Lepisosteus oculatus: one gene and its partners. The protein of the gene in region 2 interacts with the protein of the main gene of each other region in a pairwise test. Links are inferred from orthologs where the notes say so. Each region holds a gene or a part of one and is shown on either strand. Other genes may lie near its edges. The genes, in order: ric8a, endophilin-B1, tpd52l2b and sypa.

Region 1 (6,986 bases), on a different chromosome or scaffold from region 2:
TATCTTAGGCCCTGCAAATTGCTCTTACCATGCCATCAAGATAGGAATTTTGGTCCTCAGCTTCTTTATCTATTTCAAAGGCCAGCTGTTAAATAAAAGCATAGAAACACTTATTAAGGAGTGCGCAACAGCAGTATCTCAGAGTCCTGTAGTAAATCTTTTGTTTCTGTATGATACGACTGGTAAACTGCATTCTTAGTTCTGATAGTAAAAATGTTGTGAAACAAAGTGAAGCCCAGGTTTGTACAAACACATGAGCAGTGTATTGGAATTCAATACTATTAGAGAATAGTAGGCTTGTCTCTGTATCGGTCTTCTGTAACGGGCCGTTTACAATCTACTTTTGCAAATTAAAACAATGAGATCATAAATCTATTACCAAGTTACTGATAAATGTTTTGGAAAATAAAAAAACGCTTTAAAATCATTTTAAAAACACACATATGCCACAAGGTGTAGTAAGAGGTTTAAATACATACTGATTTTAGTCTGGAGACTTTAGTGGCCAGATTGTCTGCCAAGAGCTTATTCTCAACATCCAGCATCTCATCCACAGCACCAGAGCCATGTCCTTACCACGAGGAAAAACAGCAAGAGAGAAGAGCATCACAAAGTAAGTGAGCACCCGTTTCAAAGCCTGTCTCAAGGCAGCACGAACACAGTTCACAGTGATAATATAAGCATGTTTGAAGACGATCAGACACACTAGAAACAAATTATATAACGCGGAAAAGGAAAACCATTTGAATTAATTATGACCAAGTGTGGGTGCCAGACGAAGCCTTAAAGAAAGCAGAGCTCTGCCCACCCTTGATTACTCCGGTTGATGCCACAATTTAATGATCAGAAACCTGTTTGATACAAACTACTCTGTGTGATCAGCGTTCCTTGAGTAATTTTAAGTAGATTAAACGAAGTAAAAAACCGTCTGAATAATGTTTAGGACGCTTACAGCATGCACATCATCAGCTTAAATGCTGTCTTTATTTTTATGACTCTACTTCGATTCAGCGATGTCTCGTTTGTAACAACTATTATACTCGTTACATTGATCAATTATTAGCTTGATGAAGCATCATAATTATATTTATTTCACTTGTTCTAGTCCAATTTACAACACCTAGTATCCACAACTTTATATACGTTTAACACACTTGTCAAGAGAAACTTTCAGACTATACAACCACACAAAAACACTATTAAACCAATAAAATATTATTTAGAATTGACTACGTGTCCACTTCCTACCTCTATTCCAGTCAGCCATCTTTGTTGACTTCCTTCTTCTGGGAAGAGGGTTAAAGGTAAAGTAACGGATACGTCACATCCTGTTACATTAATAGGGTAATGTTTGAAAGTAAAAATGTTATTAATGTCTCGTCCATATATAATGCTGATTTTATTAGAGTTGCCCTTTGGAATAAATAGATTGGAACATACATTGGCCTTGTCTTTCAATAAAAAAATAAGTGCACTATAAAATAATCCTAAAATATACGCAACTAATCCGATTGTTTCGTTTCTAAATTAAAAAAAATACATCATATTTGTTATTTTCGCCAATCAGGAAGAAAGAAATATCTTTTTGCAAATTACTGTGACAACAAAACAGAGTAAAATTATAAAATCAATTATAATTTAAATTCATTTTGAAATTAAGCAGAACTGCCTAATTTACAATAATTTTGATATATTTGTAACTATTAATAGTTAGAACAAACGCCAGAAGACACATCATCCTGCAGCTCACAGCTCACAGCTGGCAGCCCACTAAAGCTCAGCAGGGTTAATCCTGGTCAGTACTGGGATGGGAGACCTCCTGGGAAGCTATGGCTGCTGCTGGAAGTGGTGTTAGTGGGACCAGTGGGGGGTGCCCACCCTGTGGTCTGTGTGGGTCCTAATACTGTAGTGGGTGCTGTCCTTCGGATGAGACATTAAACCAAGGTCCTGACTCTCAGCGCTCATTAAAGATCCCTGGGCATTTCTCGATAAGAGTAGGGAGTTATTTTAAAAAGATATAATAACCAAATATAATAAAAGTTTTTTTTCAGTGTTACAACAGCATAAGAACAGATACAGATTTAAATATCAGAAGCTTTTAGGAAATGAAACAGAAAGGAGTGATATATTTCTTATTTTAGAGGGGTGGTCATCAGGATAGAAATCAACAACATTCCTCAGGCTGAGCAAAGGCCAAGATCTGTATTGAATACAATTAGCATAGAAGAGGTGGTGGAGTCGCAGGGATTAGAAGCCCCTAAAATTAACAGATAGGCCAGCCAGGGCCTAATGACATCCTACTAATTGGTTTTAAGGAAAGGAAAGATGTAACTATTAACCCTGTAGTGCCAGATTAATTATGTCATCCCTTAGTATCATCCCTTGAGTATACATCCCTTATTTATATCTCTTTTTTATCCTTATGACCAATTTTCATTTCAAGGCTAGAATCTGAGACTCAATCTTTTATGAGGACCATTATTAAAAACCTTTCTGAAAATCTAAATATATCATGTCATATGTCACATCCATAGCTGCTGTTATTTGTTCAAACTGTTCTAACAAGTCAAGCAAGACAGGCTTAACTAACTGCATGGTGACACCCTGGTTAGCATCGTTGTCTTGGACTGCTGGAGCGCTGTGCTCAGTTTTGGACCTGTGAATTAAATACAGATCATTTATGATACATACTTACTGTAGGTGTGTACATCATTTATATGTGGGGAAGGCAGAGAGTGAGTTAGAAATTATGATTAAATGTCTAGAATGTAAATAAAGTGATGTTTGGGCAAAACAGTAAAACACTTTAGTTTTTGTTTTTGTAGAATATTGTGAACATTTTTTTTTTTATCAGCACGTTATAAGAACATCATTACTGCTCTTGAATCATTCCAGAGAATGGTGTCCAGATAAATTCCCATACATCTGTGAGTGTCATATACTGATAGGCAAAATATTTTTAGTCTTGAGCAGGGAATACTACAAGGGGAATGCAAAATCCTTAAAGGCAATCCAATTGACTTCATCAGATTCAACATTGAAACATGAACCAGAGAACATAAATTAAATTTAAATAAGCAGAATCCTACACATTGTATAAACCCACAAGTTTAATGCTACCAGTAAAGGATCACACTTTCCGCATATACTTTCCATTTTCTACACTGTATTGACCAAAAAGAAGGAAAGAAGGACACATAACAACTGAGAAAATATACAGACCTCTGGGTTAGTCCAATTGTTAATTTTGTTAAGGAGAGGAGTAAAATATGACCTGTTAAGTATCATATGTTTAGTACCACGTACTGATTGGAAAATCAGTTTTTTTTAAATAAAAAAAGTATTTTAAAAAGTCTCTACAAGTCCTTTGATTCAACACTTAACTATCATACACATAGAAAATCTTTAGGAATTTTTCCCACCTGAGAATTGATATTGAAATATTTTTGTACAAGTCGTAAGAAGGTTAAGTGACTGGCAACTTTGTCTTTAGTATAGTTTTAGCTTAGTATCGTGATTAGTTTCACTCTTTGTTTTGTTGCAATAGAAGTGTTATTCCTTATTCCAAGGGGGATAATTAAATGAGTCGTGTTGTTGAATTCAAATGTAAAAGCTCATCAAATGTTTGTTAATAAGGCTTGTGAATCGCAGGCTCACTTTTCCAAGCACTTTTCTTTTATATAAGACGATTTGTGGACGGTATGTTCACCAGTTAATTGTAAGAATAACACCAGGGAGAAAGAGAAGAGATACACAAGAAAAAGAGCAAAAAAGAGTGCGGTTTTGCAAACCCTAAATGTACCCTTTTTTTAAAACAATGTGAATATGTCTATCTTAACACCTCGCGTTGTATCAATACATCCCCAGCATATTGTAGCAGTATTACACCTAGAGACTTGCACCTGATCGTGTAGAAACAAAAACGTAAAACTACATTTCCCAGAAATCCTTACGCACGCTTACAATCCTGCGTTAATCTTGTTCCAGGACTTTCGAGTTTCAGGGATAAGAGCTGGTAGAGTAAGGTAACGCAGTGAGACACATCAGAATATTACCCAAAGCAAGGCGTGTATGTGGTTGTCAGTTTGACTTGAACAACAATAACTGCGTCTGTAATACAGCAATGAAAATGGAATTCAATGCCATCATAGAAACGATGCAAACAGGAGACCAAGATGCCGCATTGAAGGCACTGCAGGCTTACAATAAGGAGGTATAATTTAGTATTTTTCATTTTTATACGTATTTGGTTAACATCTTGTATATTTATATATACGATTCGTATCCGTTAACCGTGTTTCCATGTGTGGGCTTCGAAATGCAGGGTATACAGTATCTGTGATTTGTTAGTGTGTTTAGCCGACTACCTTCTATTTTTACAGAAATGCATGTTTTCTGTCATTACCATCCTGACATGATGTGAACATCCTAAGTGTAACATATTTAATAGCTTCGATGTGATCTGGATTAGGGAGCCCTGGTTGTCAGCTTGAATGCATTTAATTTTATTGAATCAAACTGCCATTCACAATGGTACAGTTTGCATTTTTAAATTTTAAATGAAAATAATTAGCCATAACAACAGTGTCGCCCTAAAACGCAGGCGTATATTCTTGGTAGTAACTTTTACATTTATTTCTCAGCATTATTTAACGATGATAATTTTACATAATGGTACATCCACTCGCTGGAATACAGTTTGCCCAGGCTATTTTGTCATTGATACCAATGCTTTTGGATAGTGCAATGCAGGCAGAAATGTAACATTATTTTTTATATCAATAATCACCATCACAGCCTTGAAGAACAAAACGTATATGTAATACTTAAAATTATCTAGATCTTTGTTGGTTTTGAGATACAGGAAGACTGGGGCAATGGTCTTGGGCTGAGAGTGCAAGATACAGCTCTGTGTTAATAGTAGGTGTGTAAAGCACCTTCACCATAGTTGCCATTCTGATAGTGTAGCAAACTATTGATTTATTCTGTGCAGCTGTTATTTCAAGTGTAGTAGTAAATATCTTAATTGAAGTCATTATTATTTTAATATGTAGCTCTGGAACCCAAGCTTCACTCCAAGTTCCTTCTAGCAAGCTGAATAATACATCAGCAGGCAACTTTTTACTATTATTTTTACTTAATGTTTTTTGTGAACTGTTTTTACTTATCAGAGTAGGTACTCCATACAATTGCTTTGATGCAAGTACTGTATATAACGGTCTCTGAAGTTGTGAAATCTGGTGTGGAAATGAAGATACTTTGTGTGTATTTTTTGTTTCTCTACATTTTACATGGTATGACTTACAGATCATTTAATGCAACTAGTTATCACTGTTATAATGAGGGTGTAAGAGCCTCTTATACTTTTAGTGCCTAAATCTGATAAACGTTTTAAAGAATATTAACAGCCTTAGAGTACATCAATACCATCAGATACTTTTAATCAGCAAGGAGCTTGAAATCCATAGTTAAGATTGGGGTTGGGCTTTGTCCTTGTCTTTTTCCATCTCTTGTCAAAGCATTTAAAATGCCCAATGTCGGCATTTGTTTATGAATGTATCTACTGAAAAAGGTTCGACCATTCAACTTTGAAAATGATCAAACACAGCGTGAAAACAGGTCAACTATCAATATGATAAAATCTGATTTTGTTTTTTTCCCCACCTTGTAATCTGTATTTTTGTACATGCAAAAATAGTGCATGCTTATATCTATATTAGCATATGTGATATTCCTTTAAACCCCTGATATCACTAATGGTTCTTTCTTTTCATGTACTTTTCATTTAAATCACACTTAAAGATACTTCTGCAACAGAACATTGAGGTAATTCCTCAATACGCTGCCTTTCTTTGACGTGAATGTCAAGGAACTCCTTTCATCCTGCCCAGGAAGTCTCTGGTCTGTTCTGCGGTGCGTGTTGTGAAAATTGGATTAGATCATTGAGCCATGTGCAGCTCAGCTCATCTGAACTGTCCTGTTATAGACCAGTAAGTCACCTGGTGCCTCACAGAAGTCACGTTGACTACATACCCCTGAACAGTATCTCTGTTGCTCTTCTTCTGGAAGGAACGCTCAGCAGAATGTGATGCTGCTGTACTGTAGCTTTTTGCCCCTAGCACATCTCAAACAGCAACAGACAGAACAAGCTGTTCTTTCAGACTAACACCAGCAGTATCCTAAAGCCATATCCTAATTGGGTTAGAAATGTCATTTCCTGTTGCATGTTGATATACCCTAATTAGCTGTACATAGTGTGGGACTACATACAGTAAAAGAGCAAGCATTTACTTTTGTTGACATTATGTGAAAAGTTGTTAAGTTTACATGAACGGAAGACAAAAACTCATCCCCAGAATACTTCCGGCTTCCACTCAACTTTCCTGTTCTACACGATGGGTGTCATGTAGGTTATCTTCCTTGAAAGGTTAGAATAAGGCCTTCCAGGAGGTAAAACTGAGATACCCCCAGACCAAAAGAAAGAATAACATTTTTAAGCGAGTCTCCACGATACAAAACTGAAAAAAAAGTTTTTGGTTTTAGACAATTTGAAGAAGAACAATGCAAAGATAGAAAGTTGTGGATTGTAACAGGCCATATGTAGAAAGTGATACCCCCATTTAAACATGATCCCAAATGTAGTCATGATCCCTAACTAATCATTATAACAAAGTAAGAGTTGCAAAAATAATGATTATTTTTCTTTCCTGAGACAAAGCATTAATTTGTAAAACATTCTGCATAATTAACAAAAAAACCTTTTTGTCAGTTATGAGTGATTGCTCCTAATAATGCATGAAGGCAAAAAACAAACAAGCTGTTTTTTTTCCCAGCAGGACATATTTCTCCCATTAGTGGTGTTTGTACACAAAGTTGTTAATCAATATCTATCTTTATTCATGGCACCTTTATGTATGTGCCAACAAAAGTGGTTATTTTTTTCTTCTTGGTGTCTCTCATAAATGATGACATTACCTGGATATAAA
Region 2 (7,019 bases):
CTTTTCAAATCTAAAAACAAATCTGAATGGCTTGAGCCATCCTTGAATGGTGCCATTGCTGCCATGCATGGTCAAGCATGCAGTTGTGTCCATCTCTCCATTCTCACATGGAGGTTGAGCTGTTCCGGCCATCAGCAGCCCACGCAGTTGAGGGCGATGGCTCTTCATGTGCGTCCTGTGTGCGATTCCAGAGATGGCTGATGAAATCACCCTGGATCAGGCAGAGCCTGCTGCAGTTTGGGCAGCTTGTTCCCTCCTTGTTCCTGAGTAGGCCAGGCCGTCCTGGGGAGTTGATTTGATCAGGACAAGCAGCTTCCCATGTTGCCACCTTGTCTTGCTGAATGGTTTCAGAGTGAAAGATCCTTGTATCTGTATCGCCATCAGGCTGGAGTCAACATTGCACTTCCTCGAGTCCTTTCTGCCCTTCTCCTGATCTTGTGCCTCCACCGCGGCAGGAGTAGTATATAGTTTTCACTGGGTGTGTTAGTATATTATAGGTTTAGGGCTTGTGTGCATATCCTCATATGGGAGTAATTAGTGCTATTCTATAGTACAAATAAGGTGTTAGTTGTGGCTGGAAAGTGATCAGGGTGTTAGTGGAGATTTAAGTTGATCTAAGAACCTCTATTATCTTAAAAAGTTTTGTTTTCTAGCTTTGTGTTAAACACTGTACAAATAAAACAAGAAGAACCCATGGAATGCTCTGCGAGTCTTGTGTCCACCACTGGTGAAAGTACATCGGTCACATTCACCCAAAGTGCTCTGGCACAGGATGTTGGCATTAGGGAGTCTGGAACAGCTCAGCCATGTTGTGCAAACTGGTACCCTGGCATGTTTCAAGAAACTGCTGGATAAAGTCCTCCGATCAATAAGCAATCAAATGAGCTAGATGTATCAAATCTTCTTGTTTGCAAAATGGAGGACTAGGATTCAACATCACTGCTTTAGTTTATACAATTCAACATAGACTCCACACTCCTTGCAAAATTCTTGTACCTCAAGTCCATACTGACAGATAAAACTGGAAGTGTCATTTTTTTTATAACTTCACTCCCACTTATGCATGTCTTAGTTTAGCGTTACCTATGACATGGTTAAATTGAGTGCAGACATACTTCGTTTACAAATAATGACAGGCTTCCTCCTTCTGTGCTGTTTGTAATGCAATGGAATGTGCTTGATAAGATTCCCGTCCATCAGAAGGAAGTGGCATTGCAGTGATTTACATCTCTTTTCAACAGACACGGTTTCTCTGCATGAAGATTGTAGCTGATATTATAAATGTGGTTTTTATCTTGCAGCTGCAGAATATAAAATAAAGATGGGTGAAAATGTTTTTGACCTAAGAGACAGATTTGAGAGTGCCTTTCAGGTGAATCCAACCCATGTCACTCCCTCACCGGCGGGCACCAGAGAAGAGCTGGAACAGCCGATCGAAGGTATGGATCAAATGAACGGCACCATCGTTTATTTTGCCATCTGTGCTGTGGATGAAAATGGACTGATGTCTGAAATGTCCAACATAGCTCAGGTAGCAATAATAGAGCCGCTGGTCCCTGCTGGACCAGAGCTTAAGGTTCTCCTGTCTCAAGACAACGGCGAGGACAGCGATTCCGACAGCGACAGCAACGAGGGTGGACTGGGCAGTGTGTCGGTCGTGGGCATAGCGGTGACCACTACTATCCTCAGTGTGTGTCTGGTTTTAGGCCTGATCAGGCTGTTCATGCACAAGAGAGAGCAGGGCGACTACACACTGAGAGACGGGCCGGAGGTAGAGAGAGTACCAATGGCCAGTAATGTGTAAAGGAGCAGACTCCAAGCTCTCTGAGAGCACTTTTATGTTGGGTACTGAAAAAACACTGGTACTTTTGATAGCCAGTGAGGGAAAAGGGTATTGGTTTGTTTATTGGGCAGAGCTTTCCAAATCTACTATTGCTTAGGATAAATGTTAAAGGAATACAGAATAAACAATGGAAGCAGGGAAAGTCATTGTCAATGTATTATTCTGCTTATGGAGAAGTTTTCAGTATAGGATCTGTTCTATATTAACTTCTTGCTCGTGGCAATTCTTTATTTAAAAATCCTGAATTCATAAGACCATACTGGTGAAACTAATTAAATCAGATCTCTGCCTGTGGCTCCTATATATCTCATGCAGCGAATTATTTTTAAAGGGCCTGTTGCTATAAGAGTGGGTCATGTGTACAATAATTGTGTAGAAGAGCTGACACTACTGATTTTTTCTGTTAAAATGAATCTGTTCACACATACTGTTAAAATGTGCAGTGCATATCACTTACAATAAACAGACATACACTTCACACCATCATCTAGTGATGGGGAAAAATCTACACAGAAAACAGTAACTTCATCTAAAAAAAATATTATTTCACTACTTTTACAAAGATCACGGCAAACTGTTTTTTAATGGGAGAGAGGAGTTCAGGTGAAGCTTGCTTTGAACACCATGGGTTAATATCTTTTAAGGCAGCGGGACACACATAGTTCTATAACATGCACTTGGGTTTTGTTGGGAGTAATAATGCACTCATTGTATTGTAATGTATCTCAATAAAGAATTATTTGTTTTTTTAATATACATCTGTTAAATCTTTGAAAATGTGTTATTTATTTTTGAAGGAGTACTTGAAATAGTAGTTTTAGATGTATTTTAAAAGATTCAGATATACGATATAAAAACAAAAACCATGGAGTTTTCACAAGGAAAATCAGTTACATACTGTAAAATAACATTACCAGCTTTTAATCTGTCCCTCTATTATTTAGTTGATGAAAAATGTGCAAACGGCTCCATCTACTGACCTGACTTATTTATCCCACTCATTTGTTGAGCAAGGAGCTAGCAGCATCAGTCTGCAGGCTGCACAGGGAACAGCAGAGGCTAATTCCACCTTGTTTAAAAAGTACAAGCGAGTTCTTGTTTGCTTCAGTACAGCTGCTGAAGCAGCTGTTAAAACTCCTTAAACAGCCATGAGTAATTTAGCAGGTTTGCTGTCATACTTATTGTTGCTAGATGAATAATGTATTGAAGGAGAGTAAGAGTTGTATTTAAAACCCTGTAATAACCCATATAAACAGCGGAACAAGTAATAGGTTTATTCCATGCTGAAAAAAAGAAGAAAGAAAACAACGTTTCGGCCGTGGAGCCTTCTTCAGGTGTAAGCACCTCAATCTGAGATTCAGGTTTAAGTGATGCAAAGGACCTCCATCTTTTCCATGTGCACAAAGCTAGGGTCCCGATAGACATTGTGTGGTATTTCCTGATGCTGATGAGCTGGTGCACAGATCTGTAACATCTATAATCGGTCGCGACTACACAAAAGCCAAGGTAAAGCATTAGTCTACTGATATAACCTACTGAATGGTCACTCTTGAGCTTGCCAGCATGGACTCCAGCTAATCCACAACCCACGGCCAGAAAACTGGGCAGGAAACGGATGGGTGAATGGTATGTACTGACCATAAGAACAGGTAAAGGTTTTTTCCCTGCTGAAAAGAAGAGATTTTTTCAGCTCCGTGGCTGAAATGTTGTGTCCCTTCTCTTTTCAGCAGGGAATAAACCTTTACCTGTTCCTTTGGAGCCCACGCATGGTGATACAGCTCCTTACTTGAACTAACCATAGTTTACAGGCCAAGAAAAACTTGCCCATCATTAGGACAGGCATTATCTATTTTTTTTAAATAACCAAAACAACATTTAACTTAAGCAGTCTTTGAAATCGATCAAATCAAATCAAAACCTTTTCTTTATTAAGCTGATATGAATGTCAGGAATTTCACAATGCTTAGAAAACTAATCCAAAATGTTTCTAGGCTACCCTGTGGAGTTCTGCATCCGTTCTTGAGTTTGATTCGCAAATGTATCGATCAATTGATTGAAATAAGATAATAAACCTGGACGTTTTCAGGAAATGTGCATCCTACACACTTCCTCTAGTTAATAACAAGCGAACAAGGGTGCTTGAAATCGGTGCCTTCGTGGCACAGGATGAGGACAAAGCCATTTCTGCTGTCGCTGTAGTATTAATTCCCTCACTCGTGGAAACACTTCAGAGTCCGTCAGTCAGACAGAAAGACGGTTCCTCCTCTTCCTTTGCGTCCAGGGAGCAAAGTACAGTATCGGAGGCCAGACGCTCCTTGTACTGTGAGAGGGAAGGTCTGATCTCAGCAGGCGGACTGAAGGAGAGGAGTGTCTCTACCCATTTCACCGCCGTTTCCACTCGGCTGAATGGAGATGGTCTAAAGCGCCGTCAGCATCATGGACTTCAACGTAAAAAGACTGGCGGCAGACGCCGGCACTTTTCTGAGCCGAGCGGTGCAGGTAAAGCGCACATGTGTCACGGCTGGAACGTGGCAGCTGAAATTAATAGAGAAGTTTCTTGATGTACTGTCTCTGTTTCCGGACCCTGTGCCGCGCCTCTGTCCCCGGTGTGGCGCCGCGGGAAAGCCCGGTGCTCCGCCGGGCCTGCTGGGACCCTCGGAGCGCAGTCACAGGGCCTTTGGGCGTTGGTTTAACGGGTTTATTTTAACAATTGGTTATGTTTTATATATTTTTTTTAGCGGTCGAGGTTTGAAAACTTGTCATGTGACCAATTTTTGAGTCGGAAAAAATCCTCTTTCTAAATCTTGAGTTCGGGATCGAAAGCCGATGAAGTCGGCTGTGCTGAGAGACAGCGGCTAGAAAACACCCCGGCTGTCCCCGGGGTCAGAGGAGTCAGGCGCCCCTGATTTTTCACTGTTTACTGCAAATATGTTAATGACGGGGAAAGGAAACTGAATATAGCATTGCGAAACTAAAACCCATAAATTCACACCACTGCCTCTGTCCTCTTCATTTACTGTACACAATGTGCACTGTAACGGTGTAACACATTGCTTACCTACTGTAGGTTCGGTTCTCATGTATACAGTGTTAGTACAGTGACATTTAGAGGTTTATTTTCAGTGGGCTTCGAAAACTGTTGCGCTAGTTTTGAGGTTAGCTGTAAAGGAGGGGTTTTTCAACTACTGCAAGTGAGACAGATGTGTGGAAAAAAAGGATGTGATTTAAGTTATCTGAGAAAAATATATATTAACATAGCAGACAAACATGAACATATTGTTATAAACTTTATTAACATAAAGTAACTTCCACAAAATTTCATTGCAGGGTTGTTTTAAAGGATGGGTAATCCAGAATATGTAGGGGGAAACTGGTTAGAAACCAAAGATTTCTAACCAGTAGTTTATATGTATTGGAGTTTTGAACGCTTTGTTCAGTTTCTGCATTCAAAGGGAAAGTGTATGTCTGTGAGCCGGTAACAGCAGTGATGATGTGATTTTTCCTGCAATTCCCGGTGTAGTTTACGGAGGAGAAGCTGGGCCAGGCCGAGAAGACGGAATTGGATGCTCATCTGGAGAATCTTCTGACCCGAGCAGAATGCACAAAACACTGGACAGAGAAGATCATGAAACAGACTGAGGTTCTGCTGCAGCCAAACCCTAGTAAGATGTTTTGCTTTGTATTAAGTCAACTTAATCAGCAAAACTTTTAGAGCTCCCTTCCAAACCTTCAGGACTGTGGCTCTCCATTCACGGGAAGGATGGTCATCACTCCAGACTGGCTCCCAAATCAGGGGTTGCAAGAAGGGTTTAAGAAGCCCGTGCAACATGGCAGCTCTGACCGCTGATGCAGTTTGGAGGCTAGTCACGGTATTATTCAGACACCCTGCGGTAACACACTGCCTACATAGAGCTTTCTGGACAGAATATTGAGTTTGAACAATTCACTGCAAAACCAATGGAGAAAATCCCTGACTCTCTCATGATCTCAGGGAAATGCGTAGCCTGAAAGATACAACTTTAAAAGAGGTTATAGTTGTCCTCCCCCGCCAAAGCAGCCGTTCATCCTTCTCAGCCCAGTTGTGCTCTCCCCTGTCAGGACAGAGAGCCCAGAATACCAGAGGCAGGTGACAGAGCAATTTCAGTTCTCCTGCCACACGGCTGAGCTAACTTTGCCATAAGTGTAACACCTAGGCTTTAAGACACTAAGTACACTTGCTTCTAAATCAGGGGTTGCACAGATGAAGACCACTATATTTCTTGTCCATGTCTTCACCCCTCTGTTTACACAGAGTGTGACGCTACAGCGTTACATCAGAACGTTAGGAAGAACACGGGCGACGAAGGCAAGGCAATCAGAAATCAGCCAGCACTGATGTTGCCACACTGAACAAAATGCAGAAATAGTCCAGTACGCAGTTGCACACAATGCCCTTTCATATCGATCAAATGCATTTCAAGGTCTGTCGAGACAAAATTATGAGAAAACGAATGACTCAGGATAAGGTTGGTGTTGAGGTTCATTTAAAGACTTTGAAAAGACCAGTTTGGTAAATAATTGATTAGTCTAAGTCACTGGTCGTGTGCTTTGCAGGGGTTAATAATGAAGGGTGAAAAAAGACGTGTTTTACTGCTGGGGTGACCTTTTTGTAGTCAATACTAATACGGGACACATGACACTCACACAGTATGTCTTTAAATCGTCTTGCCCTTTGTATTCTGAATAACCTGCTACTTCTTGACTCAGATTATGAGTTATTGACCTAGAACAGTTGTAAAAATAACGTTAGATTTCATCAGATGCTATTTTCGATTGTAATTCGCCCATCCTGTTTTTGTCTGTGTGCTACAGTCTTAGCACTAGACATGATAATATTTTTTCTTCAGTGACATCATTGCTCTTCCGTGGGCTTCACTGGGATGTGGCTGGAGAATGGTGTTCCTGGGGGAGGTGGGAATATGAATTCTCGGGAGCAGTTTGAGCTGTGTGTCTGAGTCACACCGGCTTGGGAGCACTCAGTTACAGTATCTCTAGTGGGTCTGTGTGTTAGAGCCTCAGAGTGTGTCACTTGTTGCATGCTGCATTAAACTGTTTCATCTTCAAGCAGATAATAAGATTATTCACAGGAAACACCCATGACTGGAAAAGAAACTAATGGAGTTGATGCTTTTTTTTC
Region 3 (7,018 bases), on a different chromosome or scaffold from region 2:
GCAGAGAGGACATCCATGCTGTGCCTTGCTCTAAGCTAAGGAAGACAGCTGTTAAGTTCTTCATTCCAGGAATCCACAATGTCAGGAAAACCACTTCATAAGTGTTGTCTTCTCTCCATAGATTTCCCTATGCAAGTGTTTTTAATGAGGCAAGACAAATTATATTGTACGTAGAAAAAGCAATTAACTACTTACCACAATGACATGATTTTCCAGCCACTTGTGGACACACACTGAATTGCTTTGGAGTTGCTAGGACGCCTCTAAGACAATTCTAGCATGACTCAAGCAGCCTTTTCAAGATCCTAACAGCTATTAGGACGATCGTCACTTCAACACCATACAATACAAAAGACCTTTCAGCAAGCAAGATTAACCTGCAAGGAATGGAATTTTTGCATTAATGTATACAATGACAGTACGTACGCTGTAGAGGTCTGAACATCTTGCCAGCCTTTGGTTAAGTTTTGTTTCAGCTCATTCAATGGAGTGAGTCCCAGTTTTCTTTTGAGCTCATAAGCATGTTTCTCTTTGGCAGAAAGCACCTGGCGCAGAGTGTGTATCTCCTCTTCCACCTAGAAAGCACAGCAGATACTTACATACCACAGATTTCAATGAAGGGCACAAACAGGAAAGAAAAGCGTACAATCAGTTTTTAAACGTCAGCTAAAATACCCTCATAATTTATGACCCAAGTTCAAATTCTGAAACTTAATTACCACAGATTTGCTAGTAGTGACAAAAAGTCAGTGGTATAAACTATTCAATACACAGTAGTGGAATAAACTATATCATTCTAAGCATCTGTCACAGGCAAGGTAATGCAGATGAGATAATATTAATACTCCAGAATAGGTCAGAGAAAAGAAAAATAGATCAAGTACATGGCAATTTGTCCTTGTTACTTTGTCCTAATGAGTCTGTGCAAAAGTTTTCTTCTTTCAGTATGACTTTTCAGACACAAAGGACTAATAAAAATAGAGGAAAAAAATCAAGATTGCCTTGTTCAGTTCAGTCTTTAATTCTTCTGTCTCCTCTTCACTCAAGCCTGGAGGCAATGTGGTACTGGGGTTACCTGCAGCTCCTTCTACGGGCACATCTGTCATGGTGTCTGACCCCAGACCTTTGTTGGGAGAGTTGAGATTGATATCTGCATGCCCAGCACATACATAAAGATAGTGGTTTAGACATCTTGCATATCATTGACATAAAGAAGCTACATAGACTTGTTTTTGAAAAGATTTATTGAATGTTTGCATGTGGTTATCAATAGTAAAACAGTGCAGCAGTTCGGACTGACACACAGAGCAGACATATCTCCAGCAAAAGTTCATGTAAACAAATCAATAAGCACCTTTGTGCAACAAAATCATAAAATGGAACAACATGGCATTTTTGCAGGCATTAGATCACTGTCCAAATGTCTTGATTGAGGCCTACGTGAATGCAACGAGAGCATGCTTAGGCTATACGTGAGATGACATTGCAATGTTCAGTAACAGGAAGTAAACAGTGAGTGCATGAGTAAGATATAATTTACTAATATACAAAGTGCTAGACTGGTGCCTGTGATAACAAAATGCATTTGCATAAATAAAACACCAATAATTATAATTTTCAATATCATTTTTATAAATGTTTCGGATGTTATTGTGGGATGTAGATATGTCACAAACAACAAAATCCAATATATGCTTCTAAGCTCAACAGCAATACTATCATTTTACAGTATGGTGAAATTCAATTGTTCTATTACTAACCACAGTCATTTTCTCATTTTCAGCAACTTCCCCTTCAACTGATTTTAAAGTGTTATTCCCTTGAAATAGAGCTTTTAAGAAGGAAGTTCAAATTAAGCACAAGTCTTCAACATCTGATAAGCATTGTTGTTCTAAATTAATTACGGAACTATTGGAGACATTTGGGACATTTCTGAATAAATTCCACCTCTTTCCATTTCAGCTTCAATGCTATTCTTAACCATCCATTAAAATTTGACCATTAGCTAAAAAAGAGAGAGCGAAGTCAAAGAAAAAATATGTTCAAGTCACCATCTTAATTTTAAATTGTTCCCAGTACGATACCTCACACTCTCATCACAAAAATGAAATTAATTAAACGGTCATCCGTTAGCGCTCTGTCGCAAAGATGACATTAATTTTTTACAAACATGCACCCTCGGCAATGACACAAGCTTTCGAGATATTTTAGAATACTATCCTTCTCGAATCGCCTTCGACTTCAGAACTCAGAAGTCATGCTATGCACCTGTGACTATTTTAAATAAAAAATTACTTCCAATGGTCAACGACACTAACACTTGGAAGAAATGCTCTTTAAGCAATAACGTGTAACGGCGGAAGCGAAACTTAAAAAGTTACAAAATGCGACAAAATCCTCGCTTTGGAGAATATTTAAAAATGGATAAGATGCGTGTCCGTTTTTTTAAAACTGTGACATTTTTAAAATGAGACATTTGGGATCGTTGACACTTCTAAAAAAACACGACTACGACAAATCCCTTGAGAGTATCCTGCAAAACAAACAACCTATTGTTTACTCACGATCGGAACGAAAGGGAAGAATATTATGACGACGTGTCCATGATGTAGCGAGAAAAAGTCTTCACACTTGAAACAAAGGAATAGTTTATCCTGGACACATTGTAATACTACACCTCCTTGGCTCTCTTCCCCGTCCGTTTTATTTGGAAAGCGCAGCCGTCAGGCCCTCCCTGCTCCATTTGTAAGGTACTTGCGTACTTTCTCAGATTAGAATCTAAATGCCACCAAAAACTGTACCTTGGTTTGCAGAGTCCATCGTGTCAGTTTTTCCAAACAGTCAACAATCTTCGGGTGTTTAACGTGTTCAGGACTGTAGGTCTGTGTTTTCTACCCAGATTTCCTGAAACACAAAACCTCTCCTTGTTGCATCGGCTTTCACAACAACAAATCCACTGAGACGGACACTGAAGGTACTCCAGCTCAGCTCGGCGAGCCCTGGCTCACTCGCTTCCGGCGCTTCATAATGACGTCTCCTGACGCAATTCTGAATATTCTGGTTGGTTGCATACCTAAAGGCAACATGTTGCACTAAAATGTTTTCTAATTATAACGATGAGACTAATAGAGACGTGTAGGAGTTAATGCGTTGTTAACTCATCGAGCGTTTCGCAATTGTAGGTGCTCAACGAAAAGCAGGACATGTCCACCCGCAGATGCAGATTGCTACTACAATTAGGATTAGATGTTAAGCACGGTCAATATTAAAATATACGAAAAAAATATAAAACGCTGAAAATATCATGACCTAATTAAGTGCTCAGTCGCTAGGATGTAAGTAATTATTGAAATAAAAAGAACAAACAAAACATTTGTAGCCTGAAGCTTTATCAATCAGCGATAGTGTTTTAAGTCTTCGTGACTGCAAACGCCGTATGGATAAATTGGTCAGCTAAAGCCATACCTGCGTCTACATTTTTTTTTTGCGAAGATTTCCTAAATTCCACGATAGGTGACGGTTCATTGACGTTTTTGTCTATTCGGCTTTGAAAATACCGCTGAATTTGCTGTGTACTAGTTCTCATGTTTATTTGCTTGTCGCGCTCCCTTAACATTTAAAATATCTTCAAACGCTTCAAAGACTGAGTTTCAATAATAACCTTTTGATATTACAAGGTCAGTGATCTGATAAATGTGGAGTAGGTCTAGTGGGGATCCAACCCAATACCTTATTCTTGAAACTAACCTTTAAAGTGTGGTTTATATAGTCTGTAGAGGGTATAACACGTATGAACAATAAATTATGATAATGTATAATCCAGAATATATAAAATATATCGATTCAGTAACACATCCATTCTCAGAAGATTAGTCCTGATATTTGTCAAGGTAAAGTGGGAGCACAGGGCTAAAAGTACGACCACACCCTGGTCAGGGCACTTGTCACGTGGCATGCACACACACTGGGCCAATTTAGAGATTCCAGCTAACCTAGTCAGCAGTGTTCGGGAGGTGGGAGGAAACCAGAGGATTAAAACCGACACAAACAAGGGAAGAACATGGAATCGCACAGAACGTATCCAAGTCCAAAACTGAACCCAGCACCCAAATTCTGTGAAGCAACAGCTCTCACTGCGACCGTGCTGGCTCTAAATTCAGTAATAATACTTTTAAACCAAGAATATAAAATACCAGCATATATTCTATATACAAAATGTATATGATCCAAAATGTGTTGAAGAAAAGTACTGCAGATGGTGTAAACTACTGTTCTGTCCTGGATTTCCGGTCTGTAAAGCTGTACAATTCTATACACTAGAGGGAGTAGCAACCTTATTTAATACTAGATACCTTCAAAGAACTGAAAAGAAAAACTTGAAAGTTCCAGTGTAATTCGGGGTCTAGATTATTTTTCAGTTAATCTTGCAATTACAGGAAAGGAGAAAAGTGCAATTACCAGAACAATACAAACCAAAATAACGAATGTGTGACTGCTGAAAACAATTGCACCCGAAATAATACATTAGTAGGATGCAAATATTAAAATTAATCTTAAAAACAGTAAAGTAATATTTAGAGTGATTGCCAGTATTCACAGACATGGTGCAAATTGTACAGTTTTTGTTTTATTGTTTTTTCTAAGTTAATTTTGCATGCATTTTAAGTAGATTTATTAAAGAAGATAAAAGGCAGCCTACAATCAGAACAATCAGAAATATGAGGACAGTTTTCCATATGTTCAGACGGTTTTATTATAACGGTAGCTGCTTATTGTTATTGTTCAAATTACCATGCTTTGTTTTGTACTGCCGTAGGAATCCTCTTTTCAAATGACTTTCAAGATGTTTAAACCAGATTTACATGTTAAATGTGCTTCTGTCTGTTATGCAGGGAAGAGTTAATTCCCTTTTGAAAGCTACAGATCCTGTCTGAGAAGTCTTGAATTTCCCCTTAAGCACACAGTCTGCAACCACACCCTGCATGCCCCCACCAGCCCTTGGTCTTACACCCATATAACCCACATGAAGTTGTCGAGAAATGAGTCACCAGAACTTTATTTCTGATCTGAGTGGCACTGTTTGAATCAAACAATATTGCAAAATACACCGGAACTCTGCTATATATCACCCTAAAAGGATATTTGCATCCCTTAGAACAACTGTGATCCAAAACACTATATAAGGGACTAGAGCAAGTTTTCATCTGAAATTCATTCATTCAAATTGCAACATGCTTATTGCTATTACACAGTATTTTATCTGTACGAGATAGCCTCCACATACAACACTATATCTCGGTATGAAGCACAGAGCCCATCAGATCCTGGCTTTCACTGTCCTTCTAAACAGATCCCTGACACTGCCTGTTTGATGTTTCTGTTTTATCATAACAGTTCATCTTTTTATCATCACCAACAGGTCAGCAATTTTACTTTTTTGCTCAACTTTTTCCATACATTGTCTTTTAATAGAAGACAGTTTATGCGCTGACAGACTTTTCTTCATGCATGTCAGTTCTATACATGGTCATTTATAATGGCCAGAGAAGGAGGAATATAATTCTGACTGGGTTTTGCCATTGGAAGTGAAAATGCCACAGCAGAACATACGGTAAAGCTGGGAGGAAGCATCCTGTAGAATTCACCAACCCCCCTTCCCCCACTCTGTCTTTTTCACTAGAAACCGTGAATTTTAGTCATCTAGATCCCCTTTTTTCACAGAGAGCCACAAGCTGAGCTAATAGTCAGCGTGAAACTATGACATCAATTTTTTTATTCGGTGGCGTTAACACAGATAGGCTGTTCATGGTGGTTAAATTATTTCTCCACCTGTTCTATATATTTTTTTGACCTTCACGGGTTTCTTCATTCCTATTATATGCCCTCTTATTTTAGCCTAGAAGACAATAATGCCATTTAATATATTTGACCAGAAGATCTTTTTTTTTGGTAGCTCTATATTTCTGAAAGATATCAAACAATTTTCCAAAGACATGGGTATTTATTATTTATTGATCATGACACATGTCTGCGTCTGTGTGTGTGGTCTGGTGTGTAAGGAGAGACAAGGCTTCATTTCTCCAAAGCCAGATTTTAACTGGACATTGGTTTCAAGTGAGGGTAACAGGGGCAAGGTAGCCATCTGTCAGAGTGGGAGAAAAATCTATGCTGGGGGACAGTTTAACCACTACTTCTCCTTCCCCATGATCACAACAGTTTCAAAATGTCTTTTAAGGCACTTTCTGTGTTGCAGAAAACCCCTGACAGTGAAGAATGTGGCCTGCGAATGGGATTACTTAATGAAGCAGCATTATATTTTGGGAGAAAGAAAACATTTCCTTTATCTACCTGTACAATACAGGAAATCAGGACTCTACCCATCCTCTATTACATCCTGCACTGAAATAACTGTAAAACCTCTTCCAGGTTTGAGAACCAGAAAGCAAACGCTGTTTGCACGTCTAAATGTGACAAACATATTTTATTAGAAATCTATGCAGGGTAATCAACTGTACCACTGTACTGTTGATATTTGTAGAAGTAAAAGCAACATTGCCAATAGAAAAAAAGTAGGACTAGCAGCTGTGTCAGTGGTATTTTTAAATTATTAATCTTACTGTAAGATCTTGAATGGAAGTCTTGTAATCACTACTCGGTAGCATTCCTTTAGCATGCTACGTTGTTTCTGAACATTTTAAAACATGATGTTGTCCCCATTTGTTCTTAACCTTATAATAGAGCGCGTTCTGTTCCTGAAAAGTGACAAAAAAATTCAGCATGACAGCCAGGTTTTATAAAATAGACATAATTGGTTAAAACTAATGAAAAGCCTCATAAAGCTGAGCCTTAGAAGGTGCAAGTTCTTTTTTTTCTTACCCCCATAGATATGTCAGAATCCGTGCTTCTTCAGTTACCCTAGAGGATGTCCCCCCTTTCGTATTGTGGAACTGATTCATCTGCGTGACTCCATTTCAGCCCGGAGAGAATAATGGTTCAAATTATTTGACCCACTTTCTTC
Region 4 (7,066 bases), on a different chromosome or scaffold from region 2:
AATCTCTGGGGCCTGTTTTTCATTTAGGAAACCTTCCGAAGGAGAAGAGGCCATGTGGTCCATGATCTAAAGTAATTCTGCTCCATAACTGCAGGAAGCGTTAATGACCGAACGAACGAGCTACGCGTTATTGTAGTGGAACCCCAGCATGCTTCACGTCCGGATGTTGTGCTGGGAGGCTATTCTGAGCTGGAAACAGGTGCAATGGTGAAAACATGTAGACTGAAAAAAATAAAGGGGCTTAATTGAACACAGAGGTGTCCAGACTGAAGGCAGCTCCAGGTTTTCCTTCGAGCCGGGATTAAAATAACTACCCTTAATCAGCTGCTCAATTAGTAGAGTTCACATGCCTTCTGCGTCTCTGTTCATTGAGTCTGCGAAGCTGCAGAAAGCTGATTTAGCGCAATGAGTAGACCTTGGCACCACAGAGGGAGAATGTACAACACAGCGCTTGATAAATCTATCTGGTGTGTAACGCTGATATCGCCCCGCCCCCTGGCCCCACTTCCGCTCGGCCATGACGTCACTGGCGGGCCGCGGACACTGACAATACGTGGAGCGGAGCCAGAACGGAATGGCTCTCTCTCCGTTACCGCAGGGGGCTGAGCCGAGGAATCGGGACCTCTCAGCGTCAGGAGTGGGGGGAGGGCCTGCGGGCGAGCCGCTCACGAGAGGGATGCTGTTCTCAGGCCAGGCGGCGGTAAAATATCGGAGGTTTGTTGGCTAAACGTGAACAAGAGGATCGCTTTCGCGGAGCGCAGAGGTGCGTTTCCTCTGCCGCAAGACCCAGAAATAAAGAGCGTCATATTTTCTTTCTTCTGCGAAAACCCTCCTTTCCTTAGTCCTGGGGAGCCCCCCAGTGTAGAAACAGGAGCAGGGAGGCGGCGAGGAGCGGAACCTCGGTTCTGGGAACATCCTAAATCCTGCTCTGAGCTGCTTGCAGCAGGTTCAAAATAGCCACTATAATAAACAAGATCGGTATTTTTGTATCTCACTTTTCGTTCATTCTGTAATCATATTTTGAATAATGGTTGATTTCAAATTCTTTTTTTTTTTTTCCCCAACGAAAATAAAGATAATTAAAAGCACATCCGCGCAGCAGCAGCGCGGGCTCTCGCCCGTGTCCACAGCGGCGGGCGCGCGGTGCTCCCGCACAGCTGGAGCGAGCGCCTCCAGCTGCCACGGCTCGCGCGCGCGAACGCGGGCCGCGTCGCCGTCACGCGCTGTGACCTCCAGATGTGAACGAAAGGACACAACCCCCCCGCGTGCTCACCCGGTTTCAGCAGCAATAAAACTGCTGATAATATTAAGGGGGCACATGTGCGGTACATACTAACATCTTCGTATCCCCTGTCCACGAATATTCATCCGTTCTTCTCAGGAGTTCAGGATATGAGAGTAAGTCAAGAGCTACTCACCCATTCCAGTATCTTGATAAACCCCAGGGGCTCTTTGGCAATCTTGAACTGCCCACTGGCAACGAGCTGCAAGGAAACAAACCAGTAAGTACAGCGCGGTGATCAGTGCCGCGCGCGAAAAACGTCCAGGGCCGCGCTGGAGGTGAATAACAATACTAATGAGAGGAAGAAGGGGAATATGCGGGGGATCTTGTCCTGGAACGGTGCCGGGCCCCTGCTCCCGCAGAGCCGACAGGCTCGGGACCGGCGGGCCGCGGAGGAAAAGCGGTGCTGTCTCCGTCACCGTCTCCATCACCGTCTTCATCACCGTCTTCATCCCTGTCTTCATCACCGTCTCCATCCCCGTCTCCTGCGCGAGCCTCCCCGCAGCGGGCCTCGGCTGCGCGTGGGGGCGGCACCTCCGCGAGCGCCGGCGGCTTCCTCTTCGCCGAGAGGACCGACATGCCCCCCCCCAGCTCCTTCACCCCACTGCACCTGGAGCTCCGGCAGGCGTGGGGCTGTGAGGTGATGGTGGTGGTGATGGTGGTGGTGGGGGGGGAGGGTCAGTCTTTAATTGCCCCGCCGGGCCCGGCTGTTTCACCGCCCCGCAGCCGCGCGCGGCTCCAGGCTCGAGGAGGCGCTCGGGGCTGGCGGGACGTCGACGCAGCCGGCTCGCGCTGGGGGAATGCGCGACGGGACGGGCGCCGCGGGTGGCGACGACGGGGCGGGTCGTGTTTGTCCCCACACCTGCCACCTGCCCCATCGCGGGGAGCGTGTTCCTCCTCTGGGGAGGTGGGGTGGGGTAATGGAGGAGGGATGGGGGGGTATTCTCTCCTCACCCCCCCCCCCCCGGCGGAGGTCTCCCTCCCCTTCACAGCCGCGGTGAAAACAGATGAAAAAAAAAAAGAAAACAGACCGGCCAGGAGAAAACGGACGCGCAGCGCAGAGCAAACCGTGAGATGACTGGGCGTCCCAGCGAGCAGGAATGAATAAACCGAGTGGCGTCTGTCTGTGCCCCGGGACCCGTCTATCCGCCCCCCGGGGTACAGCCCCGGGGTACCGGCGCGCACCCGGGCTACATCACCGGGCAAGACACCAGGAGCAGCAGCCGCGCACAATCACACGCACCCCGGGCTCCCCGCGACTGGGGGAGCCGCAGCCCTCGCTGGACCGGGATTTGCCTATTGCGCTAAACGCTGTCGCGGCTGTTTTCATCTTGTCTTCTCTCCGCCCTGGACGCTGCGGGACCGGCTGCTCCGTCAGAGGAGCCGCATCTCAGCTGCGCCGCACAAACAAGGCAGCGCAGCCCGCAGCGCCCGTCCCCCGACCGCCCAGGCGCTCCCGAAATCGAGCCTCTCCTTTTTCTCCCCGGACCGCCGCTCCGAAAAAAATAAAGGATCACCGCAGCGGCGAGGAGAAGGAAGAAGAATTAAAACAGAGAAAAAAAAACAACATTTTAAAATGCATCATCATCTATCGGTTCTGGAGAGCCGTTACCTGGTTCACAATATCCATCTTTGCGGCTTTCTCGGAGATAAGGAGATCAGCAGAGTGGAGGGAGGGAGTGAGAGGCAGCAGGGGGAGGGAGGGACAGAGCGTAGAACAGCTCCTATTGGCGTCACAAGCTCCTAGTGTGGGCACGGCACAGCCCGGTGAAGCCTTAATCCCCAACTGTGCGCCATTTTAGGTACTGGCAACGGTGGGGGGGGTGGAGGGCTCTTACAAAATGCCATCGCCAGACAAATTGTTCGATCCCGTGCACTGCGTGCCAAGGTTCGGCAATCAGTCGGTAATGCTGCTGTTTTTGTTTTTTGGGAGAGACATTTTGTCTTTGTGACAAAGGCAGGTCTGGAAACAAGCTCCAGCGTGTCCCAGGGATATTATTTTGAGTAAAGATCAGATTAGAGGGAATTAGTCAGTTAAGAGTTGTTTGCAATGATAATGGAGGAGAATCAGGGGAGGGGGGGCGTCAGGACCTCAGTCCATCTGCTCTGGGTCTGCAGCACACATTGGTGACACAGCCCCTGCAACCCCACCCCCCCGCTACCACATGGCTCGTTTGAGTCTAATTAACGCTGTAATAAGTACTCGCAGATCGCCGGAATCTGTTCCTCGTCTTCTCCTTTACCGATCTCGCCCAGAGCCGAAAACTGCCAGGCATCATCTTCACGGTAATGGCAGTCTCCATCGTGACACCCCCTTTCGCGGGAGGTTAGGCCGGGCCCTCCCTCCTGCCCGCCAGCGGTCAGCATTGCTGCCTCACCGCGCTGGGGCCCCGGGTCCAGTTCCGGCCCTGGGGTGCTGTCTGTGGGGAGTCTGCATGTTCTCCCCCGTGTTCACATGGGTTTCCCTTGGGGGCTCTGGTTCCCTCCCACAGTCCACAGACATGCTGGTGGGTTCGTTGGCTTCTGGGTAATTGGCCCTGGTGGGCGCACGCGCATGTGTGTGTGTGTCCGGTGCCTGCTGGGATAGGTCCTGGCTCCGTCGCGACCCCGATCCCGAACGGAGCAGTCAGAAAACAGATGGATGGATCTCCCTCCCTCCCAGCTTCGCCCAGCAGAAGAATGTCTGTGCTCGGGTGCAGGAAAAACGGGGCTCTCTCACCCCGAGACTTTCTCGCTCGAGCTATTTCATGTGATTCGGGCGATGAGAGCAGCCCCCCCTGCCTCCGCTGGGGTTCGACCGGCATGGCCTCGCTGCCGGGGCAGCGGGTCACCCCACCCCGCGCACAGACCGGCTCCTCCGCCCCAGCAGGGCTCTGCTGTCACGATCACTAACCCCTCCTCTTAAGGGCGCTCCAGCCCTTCCTTGTCCCGCCCCATTGTCTGCACCTGGTCTCTAATCCCGTTCCTCCTTAAAAGCCAGACGCGGACCTTACTCCTGGTTCCTCATTGATTTCCGTATTTCCGTGAGAGCTCGGGGTCGTGCTGCGTCTGGCACCGTTATGCTTTTATCTTCCAAGTTCCTAGTTCCTGTTTCCCTCGCCGGTTCCGACCCGGTTCCTGTTCCCCCCCAACCGGATGGATCGCCTGGTTATGGCCTTCAGCCCTTGTTTCTGATTTCCCGTTTGGATTTCCTACATGGATTGTTCCCCTGGATTCACTTCCCCTGGACACCTGCACTGCATGGACACGCCCCCCGTCTCCAGACCCTTTACCTGCATGACCGTTTTTCCCCTCGTGTCTTCACTATTCTGGATCGTGTCGTCCGCATAGGGCCCGGAAAGAACTGCTCGTGACATCTACGGCGTCTAGACCGCAGGGCGGGGCGGTTCCCCTCCAGCGACCTCACTCCGCGCGCCGAGCCCCGTTTCACACAGAGGAGCGCTGCAGACCTGCGATACGCAGGGCGCAAGAGCCGTCTGCGGTAAGACGGGTCGGGTCACGGAGCTCTGCGGGTGCAAATAGAAAACCATGCGTGGAGCACCCTCGCGTAAACGGGGCTCAGGGTGTTGAGCGAGCTACCGCAGTGACCTCACCCTCCTCTGATACCTAGACGGTGGAGGGATGGGCTGCACCAGGCCTTCTGGCCTGGGCGAGCCAGGCGCTGTCCGAGGATCGAGTGACCGGGTCAGACAGAGCTGTACTCCCGTGTGGCCCGACCCGGGCGTAACACCGGGGGACACTTCCTGTCTGGTCAAGACCGCTCACATCTGGCCACCGAGCCCTGGGCTCTGGCTAGCCCTCCGGCGTCCACGGCTTTATGATTTCTGGGATCTGCCATGCAGGTTGGTCCGAAGGGAAGGGCTGGTCAGGAGCTCTGTGGGGAAAGGGGCTCAGGGACGCGACTGGCCAGACACATCCCGGTTCTCCTCTCCCAGACAGGACGAGCCCTTATCCGAAAAATCACGCGCTGGCGATATTCCGGCTGTCGGTTTAAAGGAGAATTCAGGGTTATGGCCCTGCGCGTTGCATAAGCAGGTAATCCAAGATTAATCACACCTGCCAGCGGCTGGAAACAAAATCGGATTGCCTCTGGAAAACATTTCGCTTGTTTTCCTGTGTTCTGGAGACAAGATCCTAACATCATGTCATGGATGGGTATCCCATGAAGGGTTTAGCTCGCCCTGCTCCCAGTGACGCCGAGAGAGGCTCCAGGCCACCCTGACCTTCGCCGGCAACACCTGTAGGCAGGGGTCCCCCAAGCCTGTTCCCGGTGACCCCCACACCTGCTGGTTTTCACTCCAGACCCCCTTTAATTAGACAATCGAAGCCTTAATTCATGTAAGAAGTTGCTTCAATTGAATATTTTTTTTTTGTTTTCTAGTCACAAAAAGTTGGGGATTTTATTCCACTCGCAAAATACTATGGTTAAAGCTCCGTTCGTCTGAATGATGAATCCGATGATCTCTGGGGCACCAGGAGCAGGATAGGGAACCGCTACAGTGAGGGGTGGAATTGGCTGGAGGGAAGAAGGAGCAGGACAAGATGGAGTTCCTTGCCTGAACCACACTTCCCATAATGCTGTGGGAGACGAGCTGTTGCCCTCCATCACCTGCCCACGTCTGAAAGGACAGGCGGCAGTTGTCAACGAGAGAGTTGTTCGTTATAGCCACCTTGTCTTCTTGTCCATCGGGCCTCCCCTCCCCTGCGCCCGTTTCTCCTCTCTCTGAGAAAATATCGAAAGGTCCGCACACGGAAGAGGAAGAGGAAGAGGGATGGAGCAGAAATCGGCCCTGGGGGTAAACTGGGGGAACAGCGAGGGGGTGCTGCGGTCAGCCCACGTTGGGGTCACGTGTCCCACGCCCACAGGACGAGTGGCACAGCTCCAATCCTCTTGGCCGTCAAGCTGGTGCCATTCAGACCCCACTCACAGAGCTGCAGCCCTCCGTACCTCCCACTGACACAGACAAGGGCATCGGATCAGAAACAACAGCGTTCCCGATCCAGGAGCAGGTGTCCCCAGCTCCGCCTCCCAAAAAAAACCCAGCAACTCTACCCATTGGATAGAGAGCACCTCGATACCTTTATTGCAATTAAACAGCTCTCTGCAGGATCAACCTCCCTCTCTTCCCGAGAGTCAGAGAATACAAGTCAGAAAAGACACAGGCGCCAACCCAAGGAACAGACACCAACGGGCTGGAGTAAGCCAAAGGAATCCGAGCCCCTGCAGACACATGTCATGGAGCTTCCTGTCAGGAGGCAGTGGGAGGGGCCTGAGCTCCCGGACTCGGCTCTACAGCGCCCACTGCTGCCCGGAAGAGGCACAGCTCGGAAGAGCGCTCAGCCGCACCCGAAGTTCCCTGGGCACGTCCCAAATGAAGACTGTGTACTGCTCAACACTCCTCATCTCACTGTCTGTAAAAGGGCAGTGCCATCCGCACCCCAAACACGTTTGTTTTAACCTTTCATGAAGAAAGAGAGGGTCCTGCTCGATTCTATTAATCCGTTATCGGCTGTTCACCGGTGGGTATCGCGCAGTGACCCAGGCCGGAAAAGCCCCAGGATTGTGCGAACTGGCAAAGTGGGATCCTGTTCAAGTAGGGAGCCGTGTCAGCAGGCGTGGGCTGCAAAGGAACAAGTCCAGGTTTATTCCAGGCGGAAAAGAGACAAGAAGAAACAACATTTCGCCTGTGGAGCCTGAAAACAGCTCCACAGCTGAGAAGTTGTTTCTTTTCTTCTCTTTTCAGCCTGGAATAAACCTGGACTTGTTCCTCTCCCTGGCCATTG

Evidence for each region.
Region 1: the proteins of endophilin-B1 (region 2) and ric8a interact in binary tests that used the Homo sapiens proteins (3 or more experiments, as listed by UniProt). The link is inferred for Lepisosteus oculatus from reciprocal best matches to the Homo sapiens genes SH3GLB1 and RIC8A.
Region 3: the proteins of endophilin-B1 (region 2) and tpd52l2b interact in binary tests that used the Homo sapiens proteins (3 or more experiments, as listed by UniProt). The two-hybrid records come from large-scale screens. The link is inferred for Lepisosteus oculatus from reciprocal best matches to the Homo sapiens genes SH3GLB1 and TPD52L2.
Region 4: the proteins of endophilin-B1 (region 2) and sypa interact in binary tests that used the Homo sapiens proteins (3 or more experiments, as listed by UniProt). The link is inferred for Lepisosteus oculatus from reciprocal best matches to the Homo sapiens genes SH3GLB1 and SYP.

What each region holds. Positions count from the first base shown.
Region 1 is NC_090716.1:11,899,885-11,906,870, reverse strand, and holds the start of ric8a (synembryn-A), read left to right. Parts: upstream 1-3,961; 5' UTR 3,962-4,123; coding exon 4,124-4,213; intron 4,214-6,986. Other genes in the region: bet1l (BET1-like protein), read right to left, coding at 29-85, 480-571, 1,249-1,267.
Region 2 is NC_090704.1:637,894-644,912, forward strand, and holds the start of endophilin-B1, read left to right. Parts: upstream 1-3,991; 5' UTR 3,992-4,279; coding exon 4,280-4,342; intron 4,343-5,363; coding exon 5,364-5,505; intron 5,506-7,019. Other genes in the region: calcium-activated chloride channel regulator 4-like, read left to right, coding at 1,302-1,804. UniProt on the Homo sapiens protein: May be required for normal outer mitochondrial membrane dynamics. Required for coatomer-mediated retrograde transport in certain cells. May recruit other proteins to membranes with high curvature. May promote membrane fusion.
Region 3 is NC_090711.1:5,491,023-5,498,040, forward strand, and holds the start of tpd52l2b (tpd52 like 2b), read right to left. Parts: upstream 3,023-7,018; 5' UTR 2,821-3,022; coding exon 2,802-2,820; intron 1,151-2,801; coding exon 1,002-1,150; intron 576-1,001; coding exon 427-575; intron 1-426.
Region 4 is NC_090697.1:75,189,825-75,196,890, reverse strand, and holds the start of sypa (synaptophysin a), read right to left. Parts: upstream 3,004-7,066; 5' UTR 2,913-3,003; coding exon 2,895-2,912; intron 1,485-2,894; coding exon 1,419-1,484; intron 1-1,418.